2 linked regions of the Coturnix japonica genome follow. The protein of the gene in region 2 purifies or fractionates together with the protein of the main gene of each other region. This does not show direct contact. Links are inferred from orthologs where the notes say so. Each region holds a gene or a part of one and is shown on either strand. Other genes may lie near its edges.

Evidence for each region.
Region 1: the proteins of PDPK1 (region 2) and SDC2 purify together in Homo sapiens (affinity purification with mass spectrometry; 4 studies listed by BioGRID and IntAct, counting the BioPlex papers as one, with this or other methods). This does not show direct contact. The link is inferred for Coturnix japonica from reciprocal best matches to the Homo sapiens genes PDPK1 and SDC2.

What each region holds. Positions count from the first base shown.
Region 1 is NC_029517.1:114,979,007-114,987,811, reverse strand, and holds part of SDC2 (syndecan-2), read right to left. Parts: intron 4,355-8,805; coding exon 4,221-4,354; intron 3,421-4,220; coding exon 3,285-3,420; intron 2,065-3,284; coding exon 1,901-2,064; 3' UTR 1-1,900. UniProt on the Homo sapiens protein: Cell surface proteoglycan which regulates dendritic arbor morphogenesis.
Region 2 is NC_029529.1:7,221,658-7,231,086, forward strand, and holds the start of PDPK1 (3-phosphoinositide-dependent protein kinase 1), read left to right. Parts: upstream 1-4,603; 5' UTR 4,604-4,713; coding exon 4,714-4,737; intron 4,738-5,000; exon of another isoform or gene 5,001-5,289; intron 5,290-9,429. Other genes in the region: interleukin-9 receptor-like, read left to right, coding at 245-784. UniProt on the Homo sapiens protein: Serine/threonine kinase which acts as a master kinase, phosphorylating and activating a subgroup of the AGC family of protein kinases.

The sequences.
Region 1 (8,805 bases), on a different chromosome or scaffold from region 2:
TATAAGTAATTTAAAAAGCAATATATTAAATATTTTAGCACAGGATAGCGTTCGTTTGTTTCTAAATGACCACTGAACTTGGGACAGCGACAAATACAAGTGACGCAACTCTTATCTGAAGAGCTAATAGCTCTTATTTACAACACGGTGCCTTTTCTGAGAAGCAGTTCAGCTCGACATCCCGAACATCTAACTCTGGAAATTTCAAAATCAAAAGAGTGGAGGTTAACAGAGCAGAAGACGAAGCCATTTGTCTGTGACAAAGCGTAATATAGAGAGGCAGACTATCGTCTTCTCCACGTGTTCCCCTCTCCAACACCTATCTGCGATCTAAGCAACAGAGCCTTTCATCTTCTACTTGGAATATTTCTTTCTTCTCTTATGAAGATATTCCACTTGTCTCAACTCTTCTGCTGGAGTCCGAGCAGAATCAAATTTCTCCAATAGGCCAGGGGAAAAAAAATAATAATAAAAGAAATGACAAATCAAAAACTAATATACACAACAAATGGAATCGGGTACTCCTTTGAATTTTACAGTACTGAAAACAACATTTGCAGGAAGAGCAGGTCTGCGTCAATACTGCCATTAAATGTAACACAGAGGCCAAATGACTCGGAACCCTCACACCGTGTGTAGCACTTATACATTCCAGGCTTTCTGTGCCTCTTCGGCAGTAAATCTGGTCTGAGGATCAGCCTTATCAACAGCCTTTTTGGTTTTGTTTCGGGTGGATTTTGAGGACCTACTGGACGAACGTGGTGACATTAAAACATAACCATGGCAGACACAAAACAGAAAACATACAAAAGTATATCACAATGGAATTGTCAGTATTAGGCCACATGATTTATTCAGTAGTGTTTATGTTCCCAAATTACAATGATGTCTATCCATGTAAGACTACAAAAGTTACCATTAGAATTGTCTGTGCTTATAAAATACCAACATTTTCTTTTACTGTTATATACTCATTAACACCAGTCTGCGACAAGTTACATATAATCATAGGCACTTCAAAGGCTTTAAAAGACGTTTACAACTTAAATGCATTTTTAAAGAACAAAAATTTAAACCCCTACATGTACCTTCAAATTGCAAATAATTAACAAATACAGTGGCCATAGAAATCTGCAGCAACTTCTCAAAATACTGTTAGAGTCTTTGGGTTTGCTTAGGTTTGTCAGTAGCTTACTTCAAATCTTCCTGACAGGAGATTTTAGTAAGAACACGACCATACAGTTTGTAGTGATGATCCAATTTTACACGTTAATTCGCTGTTACAAATCTCACTGAAGCTACAGGTACGCTGAGAAACAATGCAAAGTGTAAAATTGATAATCCGACACTTAGATCTATACAAAGTGGAGGTTAGAGTTTACAGAGCTGAAAAATTACATTGACACTAAAAGTCACTGTTATCTGAATTATCTGAAGACAAATTGCACCATGACAACTACAAAAAGGCTTCTTTTTTTTTTTTCTCTTTTGGAAACAGATAAATTAATGAAATAAAAGCTAACTCGTAAGATCAATCTGAGACATGCTGACAAAAAATTAAACAGCTTCCATTGACTCATAGGATAAAGCAATCGTTTTCATTATATTTATGCATCAAGTTTTAAAAATGATTCGGTTGAACACCAATGGTTCTTATAAAATAAATGCTTTGCCACTGTTATCCACAGAACGCTGCAAGTGTTAAGTTTTAATTTTACATTTTTAAAGGAATACGTGTAAAGTTTTAAATACAATGGGATTTTATCATAAAGGTGCCGTGATGGCTCTTTAATGAAAAAAAAAAAAAAAAAAAAAAAAAAAAAGATCTTCATTATTCTATGCAAAAGCTTTATTTAAAAAAGTTCAGTGATCTCATAAATAGAGACACTAAGTAGGAATTTTATGCATAAAACTCCTTAGTAGGTGCCTTCTGATAGGCAGCACTAGATGGTTTACGTTCACCAAGGTCGTAACTGCCTTCATCCTTCTTTCTCATGCGATATACCAGCAGCAGGATGAGGAAGATTGCAAACAGAAAACCAATAACTCCGCCAGCAATAACAGCTGTAAGCAAAGAAAAAGAAATTCACAATGTGCCAGAAGAACGGGTCTGGAACCACCTATCTTTTTCACCTCGCGCAACCAGCTTGCCATTATTTTCTGCAACTGTCTTGAGGATGAGCAGCCTGATTTGTATTCTGAGAAACCCTGTTTATTCTAATGGAGGGAATCATTTAGGAGTGCATTTCACCTGCAAGCAAGTGATCCAGCAACCCATGGTTCTAAATAAATTATCAAAAGCTTGACTAATAAAACTGCCAATATTGCCAGAGCATAAAGTTGTAATTCACTTTTAATACTAAAATGTAAAAGCTTTTCAAGCTGATTTTCCAGCAGTTGATGTTTTTAGCCTTAGAAGAACTACTCTGTTGCACCAGCTAAAAAATGTGTTATCCCATTTCTCCATGTGTTCACTCAGTGACTCCCTATTGATGAGTAATAGGAGAGAACATTTCATGGAGCTGCAGTAGAGACACTACATTCATCATGTACTTGCTAGAGTGTAGAAACTAACACCTCCAGCTGGACTTGAAGAGCAAACCCGAATGTTTCTGCTGATGTGGATACAAATGCTGTTTCACGTTTCAGTGCTCTGGGGGAGATAAAGTCCAAAACTGTGTGATTTAACACTCCCACCCATGGCTCCCAACAACCCCTCCCGGGAGGTGGGAGGAAGGTATGTTAGTAAGCACAGGTCTTACACCATGAAAAAAGAAAGAAGGAAAAGAAGAAAAAAATCACATGAATCACATGTAGAAAAGCTACTGGGGAAAAAATAAAAGGAGGCCAGCCTTTTCCTCCCTGGGTCATACACAGAAATGGGCCCTTTACATCCCTCTCCACCCACCCATCCCTGCTGTGAGCACCTCTGTTCTATCTGTACTAGACCACGCTGTGCTCCTAGGAGAGTGGGTGTGAAATACTTTTCTGCACTACAAGCATCAATCCAAGTTGCAACTCCTTTTCTGAGCTGTGGAAGCTCCAGCTACTCTGTAGGGAGTATTCAGTTTGTGGGTGTCAAATCAATTAGCAACAGCTTTTGGTATTAAAGAAATTGCCAGTCTCAGTCTCATCAAATCAACCACTGACTACTCCCCTCCAAACGTGTCAAGAACCCAACAAGAAAACACAGACGTTGAGTTTGTGCTATTTGATGTGAATGCCTTTTATATTCTTTGTTCCTTTTCTGGTGAGGTGGTGAACCCTTGGCAAACTACCCTTACCTGCCAGAACTTCTGTCCTCTGGAAGAGGTTTTCGGAATGCTTTTCAGTGAACACATCAGTGTCATCCCCTGGCTCATTGCTCTTTTTCTTGGAATCCACCTCGGGTCTTTCCTCTTTATCAATTTCTTCAGGTGACTGTGGCACAGAAAGAAAAACAGCCCTTACAGACAGGATCACCACAGAACTGCATTGTCACTGCCAGCCACGGGCAGCCACAGAACTGTGGCAGCCCCACAGGCGTGCTTCACAATATTCTGTGGTCAAAAAGCATCCCATGACAGTCACAACACATGGGATGCTTTTTGAGAACAGAAAGCTGTCCTAGATATTGAAAATGGAACTAATCCTCATCGTGATGGAATGAAAAATCACTGTCCGGAGTTTCAAGAGCTCCCCAAAATATATTTAGCAATCAGCTAGTAAACACTGCCTGTGTATAATAGGAATTACAGCCTCTGACCGGAATAACAATTCTGCAATTAACACATCAAATATGCTATATTCAGAACACCGCTGAGGATAACTGAGCAAAACATCACCTGCAGTGACAGCAGAAAACACCAAAATGCTAAATGGAACCTACAAAGTATTCAAACTACAGCCAAACCAAACAAAATGTTCCTTTCAGAAAGGAGGACTTTTGAATAACTCTTTGAAAGACATAAAAGAAGGGTATGGCTCAGATTCAAACTTATTATTAAAAATTGTTTTCTTCATTAAACAAAAAATACATGTTTTACATGTTTCTCTTCTTTCACAAGATGTCATACACAGACTTTCTAACAGAAAACTGAACAGCTCTGTATCCATTTAAATTGTTGCAGTAATATTTAATAAAAAATGTCCAAATGCTTTTTGCAATTCATATATAAAATCAAGGCAACAATGAGGTGCAGAAGAACTATTTGGAACAGTGTTGCTCTCTACCCACGTACCTGTGTTTGTGCAGGCATCTTGGTCTGCATTTTCACTGTGGTGGTCTCAGCTCTAGACGCATCACTAGTTGTTGGTAACTTTGGAACTATTCTGGATGTTGTTGTCACTGTGCTGTCCTCATCTTCCTCAGCACCTGAAGGCAAAACAGACAACATTTCATTGACATTGTAATAAGTCTGGAAGAGTTTCACTTGTTGTTACAATGCTGAGGGTAGGGTGCTCGTATGGCCCACCCTTGGTAAATGGCCCAGAAAACAATGCCTGTTAAAATAGAAGTAAAATAGACTCTGGAGTGGAAGCCAGTACAACTGCGTCGGATGTGGCCCTGTAATCCAGCAGCCACCTCCAACTCTCCCATGGCCACCACGGGGAGCAGCACCTTAGAGACACAGCAAGGACATATGGGTAGTGGTCCTGTGTGCCCAGATGAGGGGGCTTGCATGCTTCTGGGCCTGCAAGGGAGATGTGAGTGTGCATCCAAGTCTGCATGTGCATGTGGGATGCACTGGGATCAGCTGCAGAAGAGGCTTGGAAATCTGTAGCTGCACAGTATTGTTTTCAAGTGGCTGATGCTGTGGTTATCACTTGTATGGCTGATACTAACTCTTAGCATATAGTTCAATGATTGCCAGTTAATTACATGTTATAAATCAGTCAATACACCTCTCCAATGCCGATTTGACTTTTGCTATGTGAACTGCACAGATTTTCCCTGTGACAAACTGTTCCAATAACAACAAAAAAAATCACTTCTCTAGAGTAAACCCAATAGACTCTTAACTATAAAGAAAACAAGTAGCTGCCATCTACAGAAATGCTGCTATTTTATACTTCAGTCACTAGGAATACACGTGTTTTTAAACCTCGCATAATTCAAAAGCTTTTTTCTTTTTAAATGCAGGCTAAGAGGACAAAAAAAATCCCTAAAGAAGACCTTACGTTTCATTTCCTCCACATTCAAAGCTCTGTTGGAGTATGAAGGCTCCTTTATAATAAGATAATGGATACGTCTAATAAATATCCTTTAGTGATACTGGGAGGCAGATGAGACAGACAATAGACTAAATTATTGCAAGGTCTGAGAGATGAAAATAATAGATCTATCCGCTTCCCGGGAATCTCAATATGTGTTCTGCTCATTGCAGACACCGGTTGCCCAAATAACTATTGGGTAATACATCTAGAAAATGTTCTTAAAAGTAATCCCTAACAAATAGGAATATATCTTACAACAGAACAGTATGACTCAGTCATTCCAAACCGGCTTTTATCTTATTTTTCTAGAGAGAGAAAACAAGCTGAAAGATGAAGCACAAAAACAAGCTTTGAACTCGTGATCAAGAATTATATACATTTGGATTTGAAAGAAAGGCTGTTAACAAGGCAATAGCTATGACAACTCCTGTGTGATAGAAAGGTAAAACTGAAACAATTAAAAAAAAAGCAGTGTATGAAAACTGCCGGCACAGAAATAATACTGGAGAACCATCCAGAGATACTGAAATTACAATGCAACTGTTCCAGAAAGACCTCACAACATGAGCCAATTGTTTTCCAGAAATACTACTCAAAGATCAAAAGAAAAAAAAAACCCATCCTGCTGTAAAACACTGCTGAGGAAAGATACCCAACAGGAACATTTTCCTGTCTTTGCCTCAAGAGCTTTCTTTGAGAAATAAAGAGTTCTATGGATAGTTCAGCCTGCTTTACCTGTCAAAGTTTCTGCAAATTACACAAGACTTTCACAGTCAAGGAAATTAAAACTGATGATCAGATTAAAGATCTGATAAAGCAGACTTTGAGAGTATAAGAACTTCATTTTTTCCTCCCCTCTTTCTGTGAAATGGCAAATCTCATTTAATAAAAACCATTCCTCCAAATCTTTAAATGTCACCTTTGCTTCAGGCAATAGTTGTGATTTAGGTTTCTGGAACTGGTCAGCTTAGAGATGGCTCTGGGCATTAATTGCCTTAAGACACTACAAGTGGATACAGCCTTCTTACTGAGCGCATCACAAGAACTCTACAATAATTAAATCCATACCCATGTCCAGAGCAAAGAATGGAGATCTCTCTACCATCACAATGTCTTTTATCCATTGCAATTTCTTCAGGACTCCCAACTGTTATCTGCACAGTGCTCACAATAGCACTAGATTGTGGTGTGGAAATATATTATATAGTCCTCAGTGATGTGCCTATTATTAGCTGCCCCACAGATAACTGCAGCACAGATAGGTGCGCCTTCACACTCCTGCTGCTTGAGGAAACTTGCCAGCAAATCAAGACTGTGTCAGCTTATGTTACTGTACAAGCCCATGGTAGTTAGCACTCTTAATTTGCCAAGTAGCCAGTGATTAACTCTTCCTACCAGAGTCATTTCATGCTATCTTTTGGCATCATCTGTTTGCTGTTGGACAACTTCCTCTGGAAGTACTGCCACCAGAAACAAGCCTGGCAAAAGGTGAGTATGCACAGACCCAGCATCTATCTCACACCTTCCATCTCTATCAACAGAGTGGCACATACCTGACCTAAACACTTGCAGCTGGCTTATCTCACTCCAGCTCACACAAAAAACTTCCAGCCCAACTCTTAATCAACACAGTGTTGTACAATCAGGGACCACACCATGACCATACTAACATTCTATGAGGGAACTGCAGATGAAATAAATGGAGGTTATGCATAAATATCCTGTCTCTGTTAACTCTCATAGGAGGAAGGAAAGGAAAATAATAAAATAGCGTCAGACTTGAAAGAATAAAAGGAAGAGTCTTAACTATACTGGAGTACAAGGTTGTGCCCAGCACAATAAAAGCATACTCATAAACAAGATATATCACAGTAGCTTTCTGTGCTAAAGGTCTTGGAGAAGCAGGCGGTCAGTGTTGCGAAGTATGTTCAAGGCTGGTGTAGCAAGGGGATGGAAGAAGCCCTGGCTCCAATCCAACCCAAAAGGCACATTAAGTGGGAACTTGGGAAGTGGGGAAATGAATACCTGCAGTATCACTTGCACCCAGAGACAATAAACACACTGGGAAACAGCATGCCACTCTCCTGGGATGCTGTCAGGGACAGTCACCTGGGGCAGGAGCACTGAGAATTACTGGGCAGGGAGAGAAGACCAGGGTTCAGTTAAGACCTTTCATGCCAGAGCTGAAAACAGAAGTGGTTACATTTCAAGTTGTGTCTAAGCAGAAAATCTTTTAAACTAATTAAAAAGCATCCAAAGGAGAGCAAGAAAGATGGTGAAGGGCCTACAGGGAAAGATGAATGAAACAGCAGCAGCTGTGGTCCCTGTGTTTGTGCAGCCCAGAGCAGAGGAGCTGATGGAGGCCTGATGGCGGCTGCAGCTCCTGACTGGGAGCTGAGGGGCAGCGCTGAGCTCTGCTCTGTGTGACAGCGACAGGGCCCGAGGGAATGGCATGGAGTGAAGACAGGAGAGGGGCTGGGGGTGAGGGACAGGGTCTGCACCAGAGGGTGGTGGGATGGAATGGGCTGCACAGGGCAGTGGGCACAGCCCCGAGTGCTGGAGTTCAGGGAGCGTTTGGACACAGCTCAGACAGTGGGTTGGAATTTGGAGTGGTCTTGCGTAGAGTGGGGAACTGGACTTGATTATCACTGTGCATCCCTTCCAATGTGGGATATTTTATGATTTTATGATGGAACAGTTGGGTAAATTAATACGAATGTACATAAAGAATAAAGAGGCTATGAAACTAAGCTAAAATGAAGGAAAAAAGGGGGGAAAAAGAAAAGCAGAAAACCATCACCTTTTTTGGTCTTAGAAAAAGCCCTCAGCCAATTTTCAGTTTGAAATGTGTCATGCTCACACTGACATTTGTCCACGTTAATGCTGCCTGCAAACCTGCAAGGGCAGTAACAGTGGTGCTGACAATTTCTGTTTATCTCCATAGGCCTGGTGGCAGCTAATAATTTTCATACCAAGGAAAGGAGTCAGCATGTTGTCATCTTGGATCTGTTTGCTTAGAGTAGAATTACATAGCAAGAAAACCACTCGAGTAGGAAGTCTCTTGCAGCTAGGAACATTACATCACTGAGTATCAAGTAGAGAGAGACACATTTAACACAGTATGAGGAAAATTCATCACTGCTACAACCAGAGGACACTTTGTACCTCGTGTAGGCTGTGAGGATGAGAAGGAGAAAAGGGGATGCTGATTCGCTTCCCTCTGGAGATTATTCTTTTCTGTAAGTGAATAAAACTAGGTTGTACATTGCCCAGGAAAGTATTGAACTTAAGACTTCTTCCTTTGTTCAAAAGAATTAGATTCTTGTACTGTCATGTGAAATATCTAGAGGGGCATCTAAACAGTCCCAGTCTATGAGACTCCTTTTTTTTTTAATTTACTTTCTCTTAGGTAAGAGGTGGTGATTGCCAAGGGCTGAATGAGGTACTTGCATTTCTTGGTGAGTTATACACTCCGTCTTCTATCCATGACTCAAGGCTCAACGCAGGAAAAGGCAAAAGACAAAGATACTGCTGTGGGTGAGGTCTAGTGGTACATTCTGTCCTTTGGGTTCCACTTGGAAGCATTGAGATGGGTTAAGGAAGTCTGAA
Region 2 (9,429 bases):
ATGCTGTCTTTACAAAGGAATACAAACAGCCTGTAGCACATTATGGAGGTAAGATCTTGAAAATTTAATATGAAATCTTCCCTCAGGAAACTTAAATACTATTGATACTCTGTAACTTACATTTTGCCTATTAGATTTGCACTAAACCTCTTGATTTTTGTACCAAAGCCATACAGAGAGAACAGTTAGTTTGAAAATTCCACCTCTGAGCAAATTGTCCTGAACTTACTGATCCTTTCACTAGGACTGGGTTGGACCTAACGAGGCTTGTAACCCACTCAGAAGAGAAGAGGCAAGCAACTCAAACAAAGTGACTGCAGATGAAGTTTCTGAGCTAAACATCCAAGAACTGATTTCCCAGATTTCCTTGAAACCTATGGAAAGCACAAATTTGGCTGCTGCAGAAGAGATATTTGCCTCTGTCTCTGGTCCAAGCCAGCAGTATGTCCCCAGCAAGTGTGTAAGAGAAGAGATAGAAGTCAGGCCAGCAGTACCGATAACCCAAATCCATGCTAATGATACCGTTGGCCTGAAAGTCTCTGAAAAAATTAAAGCCAACCTTGAGAGCTCTAGCATGGGAAGGAATTATCCCTCCCACCTACAGCCTGGAAAGAGTGACTGCCTTGTACTTCAGGAATCTTTGGAGATGGCAAGTGTGTCATTCAGCAGTAGTGACTATTGCACCTTGTGTGATAGTGATACCACTGAAGGTTTGATTCCCGCTGAGCTATTGAAGCTGTCTGATGGTAGTGGTCTGCTCAAATGTCAGAATGACCTTCCCTGAGGAATGTTGTCTACACAGATCTCTGTGGTGCCCTCTCATCTCCCAGTATTGTCTTCAAAAATGGCTTAAATGGTGACCATGCAGACAATTACCATCATATAATTAGATCCCTTTTTAGACCAAGATTTTGGTCTGGCTTTATGCAGTGTTTCCAGTTTCAAACAGAATGAGAAGGATGCTTCCTAAAACTGTCAAATCGGCTGTATCTTAAATCTCTCATATGTACACAGCCCTTGCATATGAACGCATCTGCATGGGAAGTGAACCAGTTTCATGAAGTCTTGTTTGCTTTAGGAAGGTATTCCAAACTGGTTTTCCTAGCAAAAGTGTAATGGAAACTATTCTATCCAGATACAAACATAAGGAGCAGTAGGTCAGGCCATGGAAGGGAGAACATAGAACTTAAGATAGAGAAGCAAATGCAAATAGAGAGATTGAATGTGGTGGGAAATGACAGAAAATGAAAAGCCAAGGAAGATGCTGCCTTTGTCCATCAGGCACAAACAGGAGGACTATGGGAAATGAGTATGGAGATGACGATGGGATCATGGTTAAAGGGCTGAAATGATATTGCATCATCAGATGAAACACTTAACAATTTTGGCAGTTTCTGCTTTGATGCAGCTACTTAAAAACAAAACAGACTGCAACAGCAACAAAAGGGGAAGTTCAGAGAGGAACCCAATTTGCTGTTCTTTCACCTTTTTCATTTTATTATTTTTTTAGTCGTGTTTGAGACTTTTATTAGGTTCAAGTTGAGTTTTTTCACAGCTCCTCCCAGAATCTCTGAACTGTTTCAAGTCCAGTTTTTCCAGGAAAGTGTGATATACATCGTGCCAGTGGAAAACAGAGAATTTTTGTTTAGTAAGGAAATGTAACATGGGCTCTGGTCAAGTTTTTCATTTTCTGGGACTACTGAGAGCATGTTACATCTATCACCCACACCAGAACGAAGCCACCAGTCTTTTTTCCTTTCTTCCCTGAGTGTTGAGTTTTGGCAGATTAAACAGTGTGAGAAGGTACTTGGGTGATGTTTGTATGCCACAAAGGAACTGAAAATATTCCATGATAAAGGATATGTTTTAGTTTGTAGTTGTTTGTTTGTTTTTCCCTTACCTGCTAAGATGAATAAAGTAAAAGATCTAACACTGTGATTATTTAGAAGTAAATAAAGAAATTAATTCAAAAGCTGTTTTTTGGAAGTTGGTATTTGAGAGCTTTGGAAACAGCTTTAAGTCCAAAAATAAAAACAACCCCACAGTTATGAAAATATTGACTATACAAATCATTAGTAAAAGTTGACTTGAAAACATCATAGAAAAAGGAAAGAACTAAATGCCATCCTTATTTTACACACCAAACTACTGAGCCAGTGCTGCAGCTACCGCCACCAAAAGAAAAAGTAAGTATCCTTAGTAAAGATATATTTTACAGCTAGTAAAGCCAAGAGGGACTTGCATGGTGAGCTATCCTATGGTGCCTAGCATGTGGCCATGAGCTTGGTTCTGCTGGCTGTCCACCCAACATATCTCTGGTTCACAGTGTCACCTCTGCTTCATTCGTGTTCACAGTGATGAGTGTCAGAAACTGTATCTCCATCAGACATTTTCCTGTGTAGTTATCTGCATACTCATTTCAGGAAAAAGAGATGAGAGAGGTCAGATTGTACATTACTCAACAGTATAGGTATCTAAAAGAGCAACAAGTGAGATTAAGATGTGACCTGTCATGTACTCAGGATGAATTCTCTTCACAGTATGATTTCTGATGCATTAAACAACAATGAAACTGTAGAACACTGGAGTCTGATAGGCTGAAACATGAAAAAATGTTGAAGCTGCAGGGCATAAGATCACTGATCTGCAAACTCTAACTAGAAGGAGCTGTGGAAGCAACCTTTTTTTCCTATGTCAGCCATTAGTCAATGGCCAAATAAAGCCATAAATCTTTTCCTGATTAAGCAGATGAGATGAAAGTAATTCCAGAGGCAAGAGAAACAGTTTGCTCTTTTTATTCTACTTTTGTTAAATCTGATCAATGTGTAAAGAAGAAACAGAGAATGTTCAGCACACCGCAGTCTTACAGTTTGCCCAGAACACTGTCAAGTCTAGATCCACAGCTCTGTCATTTCATCTTCCCTGTATTGCTGTCCTCCTGTGAGTCACAAACCTTGTGCTACAGAAGTCTTCATTATCACAGATCTTTCCAGACCACTGTAGCCCCTCAAGTCTCCAAGAAGGCATAGTCCTTCATAGAGCCACTCACATTTTCACTCATGCACGTATTCTTCCTGCCAATAAAAGCAGCAAGAATTAAAAATAGTCATTTTAGTAGTAATTTAATCTAATCTACAGATCTGATCCTGGCAGAGGCACCAGTGCAGTTCTGAAGAGAGAATCATTAATCAAGTATGGAGATCTAAACGATTGGCTTTAAAGTGAGAATCGCAATATTTGATGTAGTTATGTGCCCTTTGCTCTTGACCAATGCTTTCTTAGCAGCACCCACTCCAACCTGCCATTGCCCTCTGCTGGAAGAGTCCTGTTTTCACAGACTTCCAATGTGTCCAGTAAGATTTTACACTCATTTCTAAAACATTTGTGTTTGTTTTTTTTTTTTCTGATCTACCCTAATCTGCCCAGTGACTCCTTAATTTAGAACCATAGAATAGTTTGGTTGAAAGGGACTTTTAAAGATTGTTTATTTCCAACCTCTTCTTCCATGGCAGGGCACATCTTCTACACAATTAGGTTGGTAAAACTAGATTAGGCCTTTCCTAAGCTCCATCTCAATTTAGAGGTCATGTGGCAGGTAAAGGCGAGCAGTCAGCACCGCTGAGGGAATTATCTATACAGATATATGATTCTTTAAAATTACAAAGATGTTTCCCAAGTGATGCTGTTGAGGTCATATAGTCTCCCAGAGTAGAAATAGGTTTGTAACTTAATTATGCAAAAGCAGAAGATGTTCATATTGAGGAAGGCTGGGCTTTCAGTTTAAAACCATTTCTCTCCTCCTCATAATAAGTTCCCTCCAGGTACTGGGAGGCCACAATGAGATCTCCCTGGAGCCTTCTCTTTTCCCTCAGCTATTCTTTGTATGAGAGGTATGCCAGGCTTCTGGGATTCATTAATACTGCAGAATGCTTTCTGCAGTCGTTTACCACTGGGACGCTGCAGGATTTCTGCCTTGCCCAACCACCCCAGCTTTATTTGAATCTAATTATATATCAACACTGAAGATTCTGATGTGGCTTACTGAACAACGTGGCCCTTCCCTGCACAACCCTTTTGACCATTTCCTTAAAATTCAATTTAAGGAAATAAAATTTCCTTAAATTTCAATAATGTTCTGACGAATTACAGTTGTTGCTATGTGCTGTCACACCACACTCCAACAACAGCCCCATAGACCCTCAGCATTTGTGATGTGGGTCAGTGCTTCGGGCTGGATCTGGCCAACTCCTGTGAGCAAATACACATTGAGACTTGAGAACACGGGTTGGGAAGCCAGATTTTAAAGGGAAATCGCATGTATTGTGTATTCGGGTCCGTGGCACACAGACTGGAAGTTGCCGGGTTGAGGCACCAAGTGCTACCGGCAGAGCAGGCCGCACCCGGCGCCATGACGACACGGACCCAACCGGAAGTGAAGCCGGCAGTATCCCCACACCAACTGCGCATGCTCACACTACCGGTGCGCGGAGGCTGATGGGAGGCGCTCCGTGCGGGTTTGCGAGTGAGTGGCAACTAGGCGGACCAGTGAAATTGAGAATCGGACGGAAGTCCCGCCTACAAGCGGGGGGGGGCATTGTTGTGGGTGACGTCACGGCCGGGGGATGCTGGAGCCCCATTGGCTGTGGCCGCGCTGCCGAGCGCTGGGCTCTTAAAGGGCGACTGGAGCGCGGGCCGCGCCGGCCGGGCGGGTCCATGGCGAGCACCAGCAGCCACCTGGTAAGTGAGGGACGGACGGAGGGAGTGGGTGAGTGCGGGCCGCGGGGCTGCACGGCGCCCGGCTCGGAGTGTTGGCGGCCGCTGCGCGCTGCGGAAGGACTAGGCCCGAGCGCCGGGCCCGGCCCAGCCCGGCCGTGAGGGGGCGGGCCGCCCGCGTCCTACACGCTGCCGGGCGGTGGGATCACGGAGGGCTTTTGGAGCGGCCCTGCTGCTCGCTGTCTGTAAGCAGAGCTGCCGGCACAGCGCCGCACTGCGCGGGACCGGCCTGCGTGCCGCCGCCGCTCCCTGCCTCCATTCCTCGCTTCCCGGAGGTGGGGCGGGCGGTGGTTGCGGTCGTTCCCTTCTCCCCGGCGCTGGTGGGGCCCTGTGAGGCGATGGGCGCCCGAGCTCGGCCCGGCCTTGCGGGGAAGCAGAGCTGGGCACGGGCTGCTCGCGGCCTCTCGCTGAACGCTGAGCTCCGTTCCGGGTACAGGACACTGGCGTGGCTCCGCTGGGCCGCCTCCTCCTTGTGCGGCCTCTGCCCCTGCAACGAGGGAACCGCCTGCGTGCTCGGTAATGCGCTTCTTATGTAGCAAAAACAACCGAACGTAAAACATGTCAGTGTGACCCAGGGTGATGCTGGAACACACTTTCAGGCAGTTGTTTACGTTCGTCTGAGATTGTCAAACTCTTCCATTTTGTGAGCGCTGCTTAATGTGTGGAGTTGAAGCTGATCAGTAGAGGTTAAAAATGGTAAATCTTACTTTGCCTTGTAGATTACATGACATAGTGAATGCGGAAATTCCTTTATAAAAACGGTAGGACTTTTTAACGTGTTTTGTTTTTTCTTAACAGTAACGACCAGCGTTTAGTGATGTCAGAGTAACTAACTGATACCAATGCATCCCTTATATGTATGTGTGGATGCTGCTGTGCTTTCAAGTCAGGTGGTCTTTCAAGTGGTTCACTTCTCATTGCTTCTGAGAGCTGCTGAGCTCTGCTCTGGAGCAGCCTTTTTCATCTGAAATTAGTTGAGGTGGATCTGCACAGTCTGGTGTAGCTGTGTTAATTCTCAAAGTCTTGTTTTGTAGCGTGCTCTACTCTTTGTACGTAGTGATTTATTTTTTTTTAAGGGTGTTACATTTGGTTGTATGTATTGGCTGGAAATGAAAGTTGATATGTGGAACAGCCCAACAGGGGAGGCCTTGGAATACTGCATGGAGGGTTATGAAATGAACTTATGTTCTGTTACCAAAAGAATTAGTTTTGCACTTCTGCCATTTGATATAGCTCCATATGGCTGTTTATTGCTGTTAGAGAAGACTTATGTTTGCATGAATCTGCTTAAACAGGGAGAATGCTTCCCTTTGTGAATCTGTCCTTACTCATTGATCTTCCGTTTGTTTTTTCCCCTCCAAATACTTCTGTTTCTTTTCCTTTTCTGTGTACAGTTCATATCCCTGTAAGGGATGCGTGCCAAGAGAATGAATGAAAAAACTAAATTGACTATTGCTTTTTGTTTAAAATATATATATGTGTGTGTATATGTGTGTGTGTATATATATATGTATATATATTCAGAGTAACTTAATTTCAGTTCCTTCTCTTCCACCTTGTCTAACATCTCTCTGCCCGGATGAGTGTACTGACTGGTTAATGATAAAAAGGAGTGACTGTAGATATTTCTGTTTCTTACATAGGATGTGTTGGTAGCTGTTGGCAATTCAGACATAATCTGAACGTAATAGCAATGGTCAACTAAATCCAGTGTGTGGGTAGGTTTGTTTTAGTTCATTTTTTGTTAAGCCAGACATTCTTTGGGTAATTTGGTCTGTCTTAAAGTGCTAGAAGCAGTATCTGTTTCATAGAGCTGCTGTAACTGTGCAAGTAGGTTGTGCTGAACCTTCTGAAACACGCTGCAACCTTGGGCTCATGGTGCTACTATAAAGCTGATCAGCTGAAAGTGAGCATTGATGGAAGTCTTGGGAAGTGATGCTGACTGCTGAAGTACAGGCAGGAGTTCTGCCACACCAAACCAGGAGTGCTGTCGCTGTTACAGACTGAGAAAGCTCGTACATTTTCAAACAGTAGGAATAAATTTATCTATGAAGATGTGAAATAATTTCGAGATCTGTTTTCCAGCACTGAATTTGTCTTAGTTTTCTTATAGAAAGTCTGTCTGAATTGCTATAAAACTACCATGTTTAACCTCCGAATGACTTTATCTGAGGCCATACTTTTAAATATGGGAAGAATAAAACGCTATTCAGAAGACAGTTAAGAAGACAAAATCCTTCTCTAGGTTCCTCATGGTGGAGCTTTCTAAAGGATTTGTACAAAAGGAATTACTGTGATATTTCTGGGAAAACTTTTTGCATGTTACCAGGTTAGATTATGTACACATGGATTAAAAAAAATGTGTGGGCAGGAGGCGCTGAATTCCTTCCCCTCCCTCCCTTTTTGACACCTTATTTGCAGGTAAGGTTGTGGAAAGTTACCGATGTCTGGGAAAGGACTGATCACAACATGCAGTTACATTGACATTGAAGCTTTTTCTGTGTTAAATAAATAATTATAAATGCTTCGCTTGGCAAATATTCTGTTATTCTTTATAGTAGCAGATTGCGAGGATTAACTTGCTTAGCACATTCTTCTGAAAAGAAAGTATTACATTTGATGTTCAGTTCTTTAGCAATTGTGGGAATTTATTGCAGCTCTTGATTGCGCTGTCCAGCCTTTGTGTGTTCTGTCTACTTATTCCACTTCCCCAGGGCTACTTCTCTGTTCTTCATTCATGACTGCTGTCTCTCCCTCCTAAATCGTAGCACTGCCATCAGGGAACCTTGTGCAGGAAGTTCTTTTGTGTTTATTAGCAACTTTATCCATGGTGCACAACACCCCTAGTATTGGGGTACTCGGTCAGGTCATGCAGAATGTGATCTAGATTTCTTGCTGTTCCAGATGGCTTCTTGTGAACTGGGCTGGATCGGTTTGCATGAAGTTGAATTCTCGGTGGCTTGTTTTCATTTATAGCTATTTGGGCCATAGGCTGACTTCAGGTTCTTAGAGATTTTTGTGGTTTCCTGTTTCTGATCTGTTTTGAGGCTTGGGGGTGCAGGCAGAGGTTTGAGCGGATGGTCTTTGAGTAGTCTCTTCCCCTTAAGAATCTGTGTACCATCTATTTATTGCAAATCCTTTCATTAACTTTAATCCTCACCTGAACTTGGAATTGGAATTTTGTAAATTAGGGGCAGAAAATACCACGGTGTATATAAGGCTGTTATGTTTAGAGAAAGCCATTTGCATGAACTGTAGTGTTTGGGACAGCATTGCTGTATACGTAATAAACTCATTGCTGTGAAAACAGTCTTGTAGATAATATAGCTTTATTCTCTAAATGAAAAATCAAATGAGTCCAACAATGTAGAAGTGTTCCTTGTTCTTCCAGATTCTATTCTATTGACTGTACTTCTGCTGATTCTACGTGAATCCAATTTCCTCTTTATTCACTTATCGATGAAGTGTGATGTAGATCTGCTACAGAAAGTAAAGGTCTGCTGGTATGTGATCAGATGAATTATGAAGGAGGCAAGTGTGAGAGCTGAGCTTTGTGCTTTGAGATGGCTTTCATATGAACACTATGGTATGTCTCCCCAGACTTAAAAATGCTTCTTTGTATACCATGAACTTCCTGAGAATGTGCATCCAGAAAACCAAAGAAAAATCAATTAATTTGATTCTTCACAATTATTCTTCTTGTTTGTTATGGGTATATGACTCCCAGTGTTATCTTCAAGCATGAGGAAGAAACCTGCTGTGAAGGTGGTGGTTGTGTTGTTTTAAGCAATCTAATCATGTCTTAAATTAATGCAAGGCCTGTAAAATGTTGTTCCTCTCATTCTCATCGGTTATTGCAGCATAGTATTATGTGGGATTTAGCCAGGGCTTGATACATTTGTTCTTGAAGTAGCTACTGTATCTTTGGAGAATAACAGGTACTCTCAGCAGTGCCTGTTACTGTATTTTTTCCTTGGGTCTGTTAATACATCATGCAGGCTACATTGTATGAATTTCTGTTCATGGTTCTGTTTCCCACTGTTGTGGAGGTCAGGCCAGTTGAGGTAGAACAGAAGAATTCTCTTTTCTGTGCTTGCCACTTCACTAACGCTTAATCTTGAAATGTATTATCAGGACCCAATTGTTAAAGTTGTTGCTCTTTTCTTTCAACCAGTGCCATTTCTGTTAGTACATCTTGTTAGAATTTTCTTACTGTTTTTTTGGGGGGGAGCTGGTTTTGTGCAGTGCTTCAGTCCATGCTCACCTTCTGCTGTTAGAGAGGTTTCAAGTGACGCTGCATGAAGATGGGCATAACTGTGTGTGGGTAGGTCAGATTTGTTTAATCAGGTGGTCGACATAACAGTCTGGTCAAATGACCAAAAAGAAACAAAAAAGTAGCCCACACTTTATATTACAGTGCTTTTGAAAAGTTGCGTGGCTATTCATAAAAACAGTGTGCTTATAAACTCAGAACTCCTGAGATCAAAAAATTTCACTCCAGATGGGATGACTTGTCCTCAGATCCTTTTTCAGAACTAAGCTGTAGTAAGGTTCCTGTTGTAATTGAAATGGAAACTTTCAGTCTGAGCTTTTAAATGTATTTATCAGTAGCCATTTATGAGTATTCAAAACAAACTCGATCAGAATGTATGGGTT